4 linked regions of the Tribolium castaneum genome follow. The main gene of each other region encodes a partner of the protein of the gene in region 4 in a complex. Links are inferred from orthologs where the notes say so. Each region holds a gene or a part of one and is shown on either strand. Other genes may lie near its edges.

The links.
Region 1: mediator of RNA polymerase II transcription subunit 25 (region 4) and MED4 share a complex: the UniProt entries of both Homo sapiens proteins name them as parts of the mediator complex. The link is inferred for Tribolium castaneum from reciprocal best matches to the Homo sapiens genes MED25 and MED4.
Region 2: mediator of RNA polymerase II transcription subunit 25 (region 4) and MED20 share a complex: the UniProt entries of both Homo sapiens proteins name them as parts of the mediator complex. The link is inferred for Tribolium castaneum from reciprocal best matches to the Homo sapiens genes MED25 and MED20.
Region 3: mediator of RNA polymerase II transcription subunit 25 (region 4) and MED21 share a complex: the UniProt entries of both Homo sapiens proteins name them as parts of the mediator complex. The link is inferred for Tribolium castaneum from reciprocal best matches to the Homo sapiens genes MED25 and MED21.

What each region holds. Positions count from the first base shown.
Region 1 is NC_087397.1:1,784,089-1,787,472, forward strand, and holds MED4 (mediator of RNA polymerase II transcription subunit 4), read right to left. Parts: upstream 1,955-3,384; 5' UTR 1,833-1,954; coding exon 1,765-1,832; intron 1,715-1,764; coding exon 1,021-1,714; 3' UTR 759-1,020; downstream 1-758. Other genes in the region: uncharacterized protein LOC661495, read right to left, coding at 2,054-2,286, 2,336-2,979, 3,027-3,295. UniProt on the Homo sapiens protein: Component of the Mediator complex, a coactivator involved in the regulated transcription of nearly all RNA polymerase II-dependent genes.
Region 2 is NC_087398.1:429,452-432,318, reverse strand, and holds MED20 (mediator of RNA polymerase II transcription subunit 20), read right to left. Parts: upstream 1,588-2,867; 5' UTR 1,452-1,587; coding exon 831-1,451; 3' UTR 759-830; downstream 1-758. Other genes in the region: Hmbs (porphobilinogen deaminase), read right to left, coding at 1-78, 131-317, 377-449, 502-546; uncharacterized protein LOC103313212, read right to left, coding at 1,793-1,865, 1,923-2,007, 2,055-2,126, 2,732-2,867. UniProt on the Homo sapiens protein: Component of the Mediator complex, a coactivator involved in the regulated transcription of nearly all RNA polymerase II-dependent genes.
Region 3 is NC_087401.1:8,393,353-8,396,430, reverse strand, and holds MED21 (mediator of RNA polymerase II transcription subunit 21), read right to left. Parts: upstream 1,586-3,078; 5' UTR 1,398-1,585; coding exon 1,356-1,397; intron 1,308-1,355; coding exon 1,092-1,307; intron 1,042-1,091; coding exon 868-1,041; 3' UTR 759-867; downstream 1-758. Other genes in the region: Set1 (histone-lysine N-methyltransferase SETD1B), read left to right, coding at 545-718; FAM21 (WASH complex subunit 2A), read left to right, coding at 1,846-1,965, 2,017-2,336, 2,384-2,576, 2,720-2,915, 2,961-3,078. UniProt on the Homo sapiens protein: Component of the Mediator complex, a coactivator involved in the regulated transcription of nearly all RNA polymerase II-dependent genes.
Region 4 is NC_087402.1:9,089,940-9,094,268, reverse strand, and holds the start of mediator of RNA polymerase II transcription subunit 25, read right to left. Parts: upstream 2,944-4,329; 5' UTR 2,846-2,943; coding exon 2,724-2,845; intron 1,417-2,723; coding exon 1,246-1,416; intron 1,198-1,245; coding exon 978-1,197; intron 931-977; coding exon 582-930; intron 537-581; coding exon 291-536; intron 244-290; coding exon 59-243; intron 1-58. Other genes in the region: toll-interacting protein, read left to right, coding at 3,239-3,283, 3,331-3,629, 3,677-4,133. UniProt on the Homo sapiens protein: Component of the Mediator complex, a coactivator involved in the regulated transcription of nearly all RNA polymerase II-dependent genes.

The sequences.
Region 1 (3,384 bases), on a different chromosome or scaffold from region 4:
TGAAAACGTGCTCTAGGCGAATCAAATGAGAGTATTTTTCTTGATATTTGAGTAAATTAGGTAACAAGAGAAATTCCGTTTGTTGCAAAGGTACTATTATTTTTGGAAAGTTGAGACACTTTGTGCTGTTCTACAATAAGTGCATCGCCACTACCTTAACACATGGTAATAATGGGAGTAGAGCTGTTAAAAAAGAATCAGTTATTGTCGATATTCATTAAAGCGTTGTTTAATCAAAGTGCATTGTTAAGCTCAAGCACCACCAGTTGATCAAGCCTTGGAAATGAGTCGCCTGTATGTTATTGATTTATTGATACCCATATCGCGTAATAATGACAATAAATAACTCGTTTGTTAAAGTATTTCGAAAAATTGATTACAGTTGGAAACTTATCATTATCGATACTGTGATACGATAATGTCATTGTTAAGAATATCGATAATATTCGGTGACTTTCTCTCGTTTTTCAGCCCTAGCTCTGCTGTAATAACGCGGTTTAATTTTCAAATTATCACACTACGACCCTGTGATAAAAAACTCACATATCCGATAAAAATTTAAATCAAAAAACCTACTTGTAAATTTGTACCTATCATAAAGACGCAATCAAAACAACAAACTTGTTTTTATAGAAAGTGAGTGTTGTTTAGAAATTTCAGAAAATGAGAAACTGCTTCATTTTTGTGATTATCATTTCATCAAACAATAAATTTGAATCACTTCAGCTTGTAGGGAATAATTAAATAATAGACGTTGGTATTACAATGAAATGTGTTTTATTTTCCTTCCATTATAAACAAACATAAGAAAACAATATTCGTCAGACGCAAACAAAGATCTTATCTAAACTGTCACGAAGAGTTGATTGATGAGATAAGCAGACAAGACTTTTTCCCCAAATAGCCGCCTCAATCTATTGATTTATCATTTTATTTCCCCTCATGGTATACTCTCCACACAAACTCGCTTAATTTTTTTATATAAATATGATGAATCAAGTCCAGGGAAAAAACACAAAACTACTGAGAATCGCTTGAGGAACTGCTGCTGGAGTCCGTGGACATGACCTCCACATCCTCGGTCTCCTGTTTATGGTTCCGCGTGTCCATCGGGACACTCCCTTGCCCCACACTCATGTGAATCTCCCCCGAGGGATGCCATGCAAATTGATTTTGTTGCGCGGCGGGTATTTCCCCCGGGTGCCCCTGTCTATGTAAATCTGACAAACTGTTCTGCTGTTGCAACAAATGCCCGTTAATTGGATCGCTCATCAGCCGCCCCAGCAGCCCCAACCGCATCTCAATATCGGTGGGGTACGGCCGGCGCGGGTCCCCCTGTTGCCACGTCAAGGGGGCACATATCGCATTAGACGCGCTAATCCTGTGCGCAAATTTGATAAGTTCCTCGGACGAGACCGGCCGTTTATTTGCGCGGGAAATGGACTGGAGTTTCTGGTTGGCTTGATAAATCGCAGTGGCCAGGATTTGCTCGGCCTCTTTGAGCTGTTTTTGCAAGTTGTTAATGTCGTTGTCCTGACGCTCCACTTCGGCCTTCAAGATGTCCATTTTTTTGTCGATTTGCGCCTGTTCAGCGGCCAGTTTAAGGGTTTCAGTCAGTTCGGTGTTTTTGGCCACCAAAAGCTCGGTCAGTTGAGCGTATTCAGGGCCGGAAAGCTTGAGGTGCTTGGGGGCGATTGAATTCTCGATTATTTCTCTAAAAAACGCAAATAAAACCATACGAAATGACCCGAAAGGGGGACGTACTTGGAGATTAACTCAATATCGTCGAGGATGTAAAGGAGTTTTTCCTTCGTGCTCATTTGAGACGACATAATGATGGGGAAAAACACTCACGGGTTTAAATATTAAACGAAATAATCAATTGAACAGTTTTTATTTCGAACACAACCTCAAATACACAAATGTCAAAATAACGCGCACACTGCGATGCCATCTGCCCAGAGAATAACTAAATCGTAAGAGCGGGAATTTTAATCGAAAAAATTACTTTATTGAAAGAAACCTAAGCTAAATTAAAATATATACACAAAATTCAATTCTCTTCACTCTTGACTTGAACCGCCGGCTCTTCCTGCTTCACATCGTCATCCTGTGTCTCATCTTTACTATTCTCATGCAATAAAACGTACTCCCTTGAGCTGAACCCAAACTTGATCACGTCTTTCTCCAACAACTCCACATATTTACTCGGCTCTATCTTCTTATTATTGATAAAAGTCCCATTAGCCGAGTTCAAATCAATCAAATACGGCCTTATTCTCTTCCCTGAAAAAAACAATGAAAAACCCAACACACTACCAGCTGTCCCACAAACCAGTGGTGCCATCCTCACGCGTGAAAGGGACTAGGCGATACTGCAAAGCTGCGTGTTGTTTTGAGCACGAAGGGTGATCTACAGGGAGATCAACAACTTTGCGATCGCGCCCAATCAAGTAGGCGCTTTCGCGATGTATGTATAAAGTCTGAAGGGCCTTTTCGCCCTTAAAAGGGTACAACCGCCACCGACGTTTCGGCTTGCAAGCCTCAGGCGGCTCGCTATATTTTATAACAACGCCACGATAAGTGTTAGTTTCTTCGGTAAGTTTTCCCGAAAGACCGAAATTCGGTTTTTGCTTTTCCTTCTGGTCTTTTTCCTTCTTGTCGGATTTTTTGTCGTCCGACTCGCGGCCCCAACGGGCGTTCGAGTGGTCAAAGGAGGCGCTTCTGCTACGCCGCCTTGGATGGTTCTCTCTGTTTCGCTCCCGGTTGTGGTAATTTTTGTTATCGTCCCGTCGGTTCCTGTAATCCCGTTCCCTGTCTCTGTAATCAGGACGCCGGTTTCTGAACCTGTTATCGTGAGAACGGTGGTCATTGGGGCGGTTTCTCCTGTCGTCATGCCGCCCCCGATCGTCCCGGACCCTCTTATCGTCCCTCTCCCGCCTGTCCCGATTTTCAGGCACAGGACTCCGCTTGCGTTTCCTTTAAACACAACTAGTATTTTCCCTTAAAACCACCAACAATCATACCTGTCGGTTTCTTCCTCATTTGTTGGCTTTTTGTCCCTCTTTTTTGCCTGTTTATTCGCCTCGTCACTTGCCACAGGCGGAGTTTCGTGTTTTTTATGCGAGTTTGCCTTCGTTTTGGTTTTCTTCGGCGATTCTTCAGTCTCAGGTTTCGATTCGGTTTTCTTGCTTTTACGTTTCGGGCGCCGTTCGGGTGATGAATCGGAGCTTTCGCTGCTTGAATCTGATGAACTGGAGCTGCTGGAAACGCGCTTCTTCTTCTTTGAGCCCATTTTTTGTTTGTTTGGGCGAAGTAACTTTAAGGTTATAAGAAACGCTACGTCTCGCAATTGACAGGTGTGCCAATACAACCGGCGAAAAA
Region 2 (2,867 bases), on a different chromosome or scaffold from region 4:
ACGCTTCCCTCTGGTAAAGTCTCTAATAAATATTTGTCATGATCTTTTTGCAACACTAGAGCGTCCCGCGGATCCTCTCTAAATTTTACGAAAGCTAATTATAATCATTACAATAATAATTAAGAAAAACCTAGTCAAAACAGCCCCAATTGCCATTCCTGGAGGTAATACGGTTGGAAGATCTTTTAATGAGTGTACAACAAAATCTACACAGCCTGTACTTAAAGCTGCTTCAAGTTCTTTGGTGAAGAGAGATTTTTCACCAATTTTTGGTAACGGTATATCTAGGACTTTATCTCCTAATGTACTCATTGTTACTAAAAATAAATTTTTGAAATAAATAAATAAATTTTGGGAATTTTTTGCGAAACCTCACCAATTTCAAAATCCTTCCCAGGATGAATTTTTTTGAGCAGTGAAATCACATGTCGCGTTTGAATGAGAGCCAGCTGAAAATGTCAAATGAAAAAGAGCCCACAATAACAAACACGTGATAAATACCTCGCTTTTCCGGGATCCAACCCGGATTTTCTCAATCTCACTCATTTTTGTGCTTTTTCTCTCAAGTAAGGAACAATTACCGCAAACGCATGATTATGTTTTCATGCTGTTTTATTGAAAAAAAACTGCTTCATCACCACTATCACATTCTGCCCTACGTAAGTGCTGATAGAGGTGAACAATCAACTTTCCAAATTATGTAATTAGACAAAGACGCATAATAGTCTAATGTGTGGGAGTAAAAGAGAAAGACAATATAACCTCAAAATTGTTTTTATTTAATTTTTTCTTTACAAAAACTTTGAACCTTACAATAAATTAGCTTAAAATTAGGGCCTTAAACCGGGGGCCTTCCTAAATATCGTAAACTGCTCCAAATACTGATGAATTGTATCAATGGGGGTATACAACTCCTGCATCCTGTTTTGCAAATACGGTGGGGGCGTTGCAGGCACCGACGACCCCAAAAACCCCTGCAGAAACTCCCGCATCAACTCCCAACACATCGCAGGCACCACACATGGTCGATACTCTACTTCAACCAGAACCCCCCGAAAGTTCTGACTTACAGTCACTGTTCCCAATTTTACACAAAAATCACCGATTTCGTATCGCGGCCCCTTCGACTCGGCCTTAGTCTGTTTTTTTGATGAGTAAAAACCGGACATTTTCATCATCAGGAGATCAAAAAGGCCGTCAGTTGCGAGAGGAATGGTCTTTTGGCCTGTCTCAAGGATCGAAAAAACAGTCGCCGGCTGCTCGGAATTGTGAAGGACGTGGACTGTACGTTGGTGTCCCAAAGCGGCACAAGAAGTAAACGTTTCGCAATCGACGAGAAACTGGCCCTGTTGCAGGGCCCCCAGGGCGGAAATTCGCTTCGAGAGGAGCTCAATGGTGGAGGGCCCCGTGCGGTTCTCTGTGGGGAACTGTTGTAACACTGTGACCCCCATTTTAAGTGGATTTTTGGGGGCTAAATTGAGGTTATTATAGCTTAATGATCGTCAGTGGTGCCAACTTAGCTAGGTGTCAAAAATGCTACAAGTTCAAAGTCGTTGACCCCTTATCTCTTGAATCATAATGTAAACATATGTTTTATATTTACCGTATTTTTGGATTTGATTTATAACAATAAATTTTTTTGAAAATTGCGTTTTTATTTTGGTAAACCTTAGCTAACGAAAATTCCTAGTGTTCTTACGCGCCAAACTGCAACTTTCAAAGTGGTGGAATAAAATAGCGATTATTAAATAAAACTTTTATTATAAAAGTGTCATTTTTACAAATAAATAATTCAAGGCGAGGCTTTCTCACAACTTGACAGTGGCAACGTTCCTAATTCTTCGTCAGCAAATTCTTCAGCGTGTCTAAAAAAAAAACAAGATCAATGGATGAAAAAAAATTAGTCTAAATTAGCAACTTACTTTTGCTTAATTTTATAAATGTAAAATAGAACCATAAAATTTATCAAAAATAAAGCCGCTATGAGTAAGGCCGGTGCTAAAACATCTGAAAAAAAATTAACAGCAACCTAAACAAATCATAAAATGCGTTACCTGAAACCATTTCGATATTTTTCGATTTTCCGATGTCTTGAACAGTTAGCAGAGGCTTTTGTTGAAGTTTTTCTGAAAAAATGAGTAAATTTAGCCTTGTTCACGAGTCGCCGCTGACTTAATGAATGTGGTCTGAAGCGCAATTCCGCAATTTGATAACAACAAAACTTTTCATAATGATTTTTTTTATAACAATACAATATAACCTCAACTGCTTTGTCTAATTGGACGCTAAAAATACAATTACATGAAAAAAAACTCTAGAAACACTCACTATTTGCCTCGTTAGTGCAAACTCCTACAATTCTTTTTATCGCGAAAAACGCCTCTAGGTAATCCACGTGGTTCCTACACGATTTTCCGTTGACAACTGAGCATCGCGAGAGAGATAAAGCAATACGGGAACGTTTTGTTGAACGGAAACACCAACAAGTCAATAGGCAGAGGCGTAGACTCCATAATATAATTAGATTTTGTTTGGGAGTTTCATCGAATGCGAAATTGTTTTGTAGGGCTTACGTTCAGTTTATCTTTGTTTTATCCAAACTAGCAAACTCGCACAAAGCACGAAATGTGGAGTTTCGGCGTTATCTTTGTTCGCACACAACACTTTATCTCATTAAAAATTAAAAAGCGGGGTCGGAGGTCAATTCCATTTAGCGTCTAATCAAACTTACTAGTACAGTTGGGCAGAGGGAGGTCGACGTCCCACTTGGCCCCCTCGCAGTTGATGATTTTGGTTTTTTGTCCGTCGTCTTCAAAGGCCCGATTGATGCAGCACCTGTATTCTGCAGCTGTTTCGTTCCTATAGAC
Region 3 (3,078 bases), on a different chromosome or scaffold from region 4:
TGAAAGTTACTTGAGAATTCTATTATCTTATATCATCAATTTCAGTTCTATTTTCAATCTCTTAACACTCAAAATCTTGCAATTTAAGTGATGCGATAATTTTGTGGTGAGTCTAGTTTCGTGTTAATATCTTGGAACCACAAAATATTATACACAACATAGAACAATTTAATAATGTTTTAATATTTTAAAGAATAAATCGCTTGTTGAAAAAAGTGTAAGGAACAAAGTTGTAGAGAATTAAATTTCCTATAAAACAGTTTGCGACAACATATTTCCATTTTCAACGGTGTAGGTACAATGTGTTTTTAAATGATTCTTGGTGTACGTGTAATAGAAAATTTTATTCTCCATAAATTTCTTCGTAGGATTTTTCTTGTGTTCTTGATTTGTCCATTTGTTTTTAAATTAATTTAAAACGACTTGGCGCCGAGACAGTATAATGCTCAAAGCGCCCTCATTTTTACATTTTGGGTACGATTTTGTATCTCGTTTCGTTTCCTAAGCGACAGTCTTCCATAACCCGAAAAAATGATTTTTACAGCCGAATTGCTACGCCAAAGTCATCACAATCGAGTCGCAAAAGAAAATAGTGATCTACTCGAAACAGAGCATAGGTGTGAACGAGGAAATTACTTACGATTACAAATTCCCGATCGAGGACGAGAAAATCCCGTGTCTGTGTGGCGCGGCCACGTGTCGAGGAACACTTAATTAAAGGGAAACAAGACAGACTTTAAACCGAGTTAGTTACTATATAAAATTTAAATTATCTTTTTTATTTGTATATATGTTTCTGTAAATAGTACATGGTTATTTGTGTTTGTTTTTCATCACAACCGCAAATAAAATTCATTAACAGCTCACTTAACTATCCTTACTCCCCGCTTTTGTCAAATGCTGCATGTCCAGCTGTGATTGGGCGATGTCGCTCAACGCCGCCTGGATTTGCTCCAAGAGATCCTGACCTTTACGAACTATAGCCTCGAGACGCTCAGCAGACTCTTGATTGTCTGATTCCAAAATTCGCAAGCTTTGCAACTGAAACAGTGTTTAGTCCGCGGTCGGACCAAGTCATTGTAGATAGGTACCTGTAATTCGGTTGAATTTTCCTCGCTCGGGAGCGATTCAATCAAAGTATCTATGTCTTTGGCACAGCGCGCAATCAACGTTGTGAATAACTGGACGTAGTCTTCTTGGTTCTGTTGCTGGGGGGTTTGGGAGCCACTCCTGTCGAAGTTTGGGAATTTGCTAGGAGGGGCGAACTGTTGCAAAATCCCAATGCTGTTGCAGAAATGCTCGGCTTGCTGCGACAACACGAATGCAATTAGTGGTACAGTCTTAGGGGGAATTACCTGATTTATGCAATCCTGGAGCTGGGTCAAACGATCGGCCATTGAGGTTATGTTACCCAATCACCGACAAGTGATAAGACCCGAAATCACATAAAAACCAACACTGATGATAATTTGTTATCTCCCGAGGTTTAATATGCGACAAAATATATTAATTCGTACGAAATAACTAGAATAATACTAGAAGGTGAATGACATCTTGCAAAAACAAACACACATGATTGCCAACCCAAATCTGGTTGGGTAAAGTCTGCGTAAATTAATCCCACCGGGCCGAAGTTACATTTTAGTTATCACGCCTGATTTCAAATATAGTAGAACGGTTTTATTTACAAATTAATTGGTTTTATTTAATCAAATAATAACGCAAAACCGGGGAGTAATAGCCAACCCACGAGTTGAAAGTCCCCAAGTCAGTTTTTGACAGATGTCAAATTATTATTATTATTAATGAAAAATAGCAATTACAGGCCTGTTCAGCGCTTTAGAAATGTCCGGGGCCAAGCCGTGGGAGCGACCATGGTCCATGGACGAAATAATCCAAAATTCGGACAATTGGAATTTAGCCGGAGATGTGGCCCTTTTGAACACTCTCAAGGCTTTTGCAGACGTATTTCGCATTTTTGGCCCACATTGAACCGTTTCAGCGTTCAATTTTTAGAATCTCCTGACTCGAACAACCGAAATCAACAATAACTTGCAAAATTTGACAAGCTCCCTGTCTGAGACAAGTCTCCAGTTGAATATAGCCCAAAACGAGTTTCAAAGTTTGCGAAACAGCCAGTTTATTGAAAGTCGGGTTTATGAGGACGATGAGACTTTGGAGGAGCCGGTTGAGGCGAAAGCCGAGGAGAAAGAGGTTGATAAGACTGAGGAAATCAGGTTGGCGGCTTTGAAGGGTTTGGAGGTCTTGGAGACGTATTTTGAGAAGGTTGAGGTGTCGGTCAGTGACAGTGAAGACGACGATATCGACTTGCCCAAGTAATTTTTTTCTAAATAATTTACAAAAACTAGTTTGTCTTTTCCAGTTTTGTCCTCAGACCCAAAGACTTGTACCTGGAGCGCCCCCTTCCGTACGTAATCGGCTCAGAAGAGTGGCAAAAGACGTGGCACGTGGGCCTGGAGGACTCGTCCAGCGATAGCGAAACTGAGAAAGTCTCAGATAATTTCAGTGAAAGCGACTCAGAATCAGAGTTGCCAATTATTCCCGACAGAACACAGGTACTTTACACATGTTTTTCCACTGGTTGAGTTGCACTTGATCCATTCATTATCATAATTTTATTGGTCTATTAACCGGCCAACCGAATTTTTTGTTTAGTCGCGATCCAGTCGCCATGGGCAATATCTGGTTCTTTTTCCAGATCAAGGGCACCTCTGATACCAGTTCTGAGGACTTGCGAACTGAACCGAAAAATTTCGTCAATTCGAGTGATAGTGAAAACTCAGTTCCGGTGCAACCAACTACCAACTTTGCCGAAGAGTTGGCGGCGAAATTGGGGAACGTGATTGATCAAGAGTACGTCAATCGACGGCCAATCCAGAAAACGCCACAATACGGTAATTGTTTTTGGAAGCGGACCGCAGACTAAACGCTAATTCCAGATAACCTATTTTTCGATGAACCGCCGCCTTTGGACGAACCTAAGGGGTTGTTTTCAGGGGGTAAGGGCTTGTTTGATGACGATGATGAAGCCACGCCCCCAACCCCCAAACCCGAATT
Region 4 (4,329 bases):
TAGTTTCTGAGATCGAAGAAGCCTTTTTTTGAACAGATGTTTTTTTGTTTATAAATACCTGTCCAGGGGAAGTACCGGCCTGATTCGGCTGCGACACCTGCGCAATTGAGGTGGTCTGTATCCCACTGTTGGGATTCTGCGACATCGACGTCTGAACATTTGGTTGCTGATTTTGCTGATTCATAATATTAATTTTCATTTGGGGTTGTTGCTGTTGCGAATTAAGCGGCGAATTATTCCCCACTAAAACACGCAATTTACCTCAAACACCTCAAAAACTTCTCTTTTACTTTGTCCAAATTGATTAACCCCAGTCCCCGGCATAGAATTCGGGGGTTGTGTCAGCTGTGCAATCAGTGCGCTACTTTGGGTGGTATTAACCTGTTGGTTGGGCGGCAGATACGACCTGGGCTGCGTTGGGGGCAACATAGCTGGCCATCTGGGCCGGTTCGCTTGGTGGTAGCCCGGCGGTGCGGGCAATTGCGGGATGTTCATGGGGTTGTTGCCCATCATGGCCCCTCGGGCGTTCACCATACCTACCATGCCTGGTGTAACATTTTGTGAGTGTTGGGGGGTTATACCTTGAGCGCTGGGCGGCCGATAGACGGGCGATGGGCCCACTCCTGAGGGAACCCCGGAGTTGGCGGACGAGGATGACGAGATGGGGCTGTCATTGCTGGCTAAGGGGCTGGGGAGAGAGGTTATAGGAATGGTAGTGTTAGAAATTTGGGTTTGGGCGGAAGTGGCGGTACCGGCAGGGGGGCTCAGGGGGCGCTCCTTCAGGCTGAAGCCGCGCAGGAGGACCAAGTGACGGGGGTCCTTGGCGTAGTTTTTCGTCTGGGAAGCGCTCAAATCACCGCCGGCTTTCTCGAACAGTTTATACAACGAGGGGATTTTGCGCGGCGAGATAATCGACAAATTGATATTTTTCTGAAAGTTAATTATGCAAATTTGGTGGAAGACACTTGGTTAATTACTTCTTGCAAAATAGCTGCTAGTTGCTCAGCTGTCTTCCCTGTGTAAGCATGAGTTTCAAAAACCCCTAGAGAATAAGGGGGCGAGTTACACACTAGAATACAATGCTTTTGAATGTTGCCGTTATTGTCACGTTTTTGCTGCAATTCGTCAAAACATTGAAGGGTTGTGGCTAAACCTTCAGCAATGTTTGCATGAGACTCGCCTTTACCTCCTATAAGTCTGAAATAATTTTTACATTAAGTGATCCTTTTCCTAGTTAGAACTTACTCAAGTTTGTCTATGGCATTTAATACCTTACTGGGGCTTACAAAGGGCCCAATTGTGTCGCTACTGGGGTGCGGTAAGCAATCAGCAGCCTGATACACCACAATTCCGTAATAAGAATTAATCCCTTCTGATAGGAAGTTGCTCTCATCAATACTCCCCTGACTAAAATATCTAAAAGTCCCTCAGTTACAAGAACATATTCTCCAATTAAAAACTACTACTACTACTTTTTCGTATCAGGGTGTAATTTTTATCATAACAAAGCAAGGTTACACTGATTTCTCAGTACCTCAAACCTTGTTCAACTATCCGTTCAGAATTCATCACGAGAAAAAACAGAGAAATAAAAGATTGGAAATGTAGATGTAGATACAACAAAAATGATGATATTTGGAAAGAAAAGTAGTATGGGAATTCGGAAAAGAGGATGAATGGCAATGGGAAGGAAAAATATAGAACAAGTGAAAGACTTGAAGTATCTGAATCAGATATGTACTGTATTATTTTAGTCAATCTTCACTATTTCAGTTAGAAGAGAGTAATAAGTAGCAAGATGTCAGACACAGCCCATATAAAAGAAGCAGCAAAAAAAAACAAATGGGGTTTTAGGAAATGTTTGAAGCTTGGGAGAACGTAAATTTAGTGAAAATTTCAAGAGAAAAATAATAGCTTAGGGAAAAGCACTGTAATGTAGGGACTATTTTGAGCAGAAGTGTGGGGATGGAAGAAATACGAGATCGAACAGGCTAAATAAACAAATGCCAGAGTACATAGTAAAAAAAGGAAGAGAAAAAAATTAAGAGTAGATTAAGGAAAGAGAGCGGTGGGATTTGAAGAGAAATTAAGAATTCTGCGTGAATGCAACAGTGTTGAACAGAAATCAAAAAAGCAAATGAAAATGTTAGATGGAAAGGACGAAAAGACTCCTATGAGAAGAAGGAATAAGTGTGTATAGAAATTAAAAGAATAAGAGAAAGGGGACGAACAATGGAAGAGGAACTGAAATTGAGAGATTTGGACATAGATAGGCAGGAAAGAATAACATGGAAAAAAGAATCGAGGTGTAATACGTAAAATATGCCGTGCTTATTGACGGATGAACTCCTCTCATACTTAAGGAAGATGTAAAGTAAAGATAAGAAAATCATAGCCAGATTTAGACGTAGAAATGAAAGCGAGAACGAATATTGGAGAGAAGATTGGGAAACAGTGTGCAGATTAAGCGGAGAGTGTCACAGTTTGTGGAGGTAAGAGTGTGCAAGTTTGATACGAAAAAAAGTTTTAAACGAAAATGGTAAGGGAAAAGAATGGATGAAAAAAGTGACGGGTGCAAAAGAAAATTGGGAAAGGTAAAGAATATCTAGAATATCAAATAACTTCAAGTAGGACTGTAAAGCCAAATAGGCAATAAAAACAATTTAGCAGTAGTAGAGAAAAACATGTAATACATCAGAAGTTACAAAAAAAAGTAAACTTACTCTAACGAAGGGATGATATAATTGGTTTTTAGGTCATTTATATAAGCACCATTCACTGCAGTTCCCTCGATAACAAAAACGATATCGGCGTGTAAGCCATGATCAGCTGGACACACAACCATTGTTTAGTCAAAATATTAAACAATTTTAATGAAACAATTTAATACAAGCACCAAACCCCGCCATATTGAAAATACCTGTCAAATTTTTAGGGATGTTACGTCAAGTTAATGGCAACACTTTCATTCAGATGAAATTTTATTTTAGCCAAATTATGCAAAAATGTTGTCTGGAAAACTAATCAATTGAATAGAATTATTAGTAGATTGCATTTAACCAAAACTACCTGGCTATTTTCGCCAGAAACTAATAAAATTTAATCCCAGACTGGGATTATATTTTTTCCCCTAGTGTCAGGCGTGTTGACGTCTGCCGTGAACAGCTGATTATTTGTCATCAAACACCGCAAACAGTGAATTAATGCGTCTTTACTTTATCTGAAATAGTGTAACACCATGGCATCGGCGCTAACGGACAAAGTCAGAGAAAGGCGAAGTCGGGTAGGTGCCAATGATTTAAAAAATCGTGCTTTAATGCCGAAATTTAGGTCCTCCTTGGTCCCCTCCCGGAGGATTTTCTCCGTATCAGCACCTCGGTTCAGCAACAACAAGAGGCAGCGGATCGCCAAACAGCCATAGCACTGCACCACCAGCTAAGCGGTGGCCAACAGTACACAAATGTCGTTGGGAGGCTCAGTATCACTGTTGCTCAAGCTAAGCTCGCAAAAAATTACGGAATGACCAGAATGGACCCCTACGCTCGGATTCGGGTCGGGCATTGCGTTTACGAGACGCATACGGACCCGAACGGCGGCAAAAACCCGCGATGGAACAAAGTTATTCACTGGTAAACACATCTCAAAAACTAGCAAGTCCCTACTTTTCCATTTCCAGTTTGTTGCCTCAAGGTATTAATACCATAACGTTAGAAATTTTCGACGAACGCTCATTTACGATGGACGAACTCATCGCCTGGACGCAGTTCCAGATCCCCCAACAGGTACTTGCAGGGGAAACCCACGAGGATTGGTACCCATTAAATGGGAAACAGGGTGAAGGTGTCGAAGGAATGATTAATCTCGTGTTAAGTTATCTAGTGTTCCCTTCATATAAATATCAACCACCGGCGCCTGTTATGGTGGTGCCCAACGTAACAGGGGGCAATGTCACACCCTTGAAGGTGTTTACAGCGCCTCCTACTGAAGCCGCGCCTGCTTTGAGTGAATCCGAGCTCAAACAAATCGAGGAAATGTTTCCAAATATCGATAAAGAGGTGATTAAGACCGTGTTTGAGGCCAACAGGGGCAATAAAGACGGTACCATTAATTCGTTACTTCAAATGGCTGAATAAATCAATCAGTAATCTCATTTACGCCATAATTAAACTTTAGTTGCGGATTCTAGTCGTAGCTTTTTAAAATTCCATTTTTTGTCATTTTTTAACTCATCAAGTGCCAAAATTTAGCCATGCTTTTTGGTTTGCTTATCGTGCAATTTTAATTTTTAACGATTTCTACTTGAACATTTCCATTGTTAATTCCAACTAC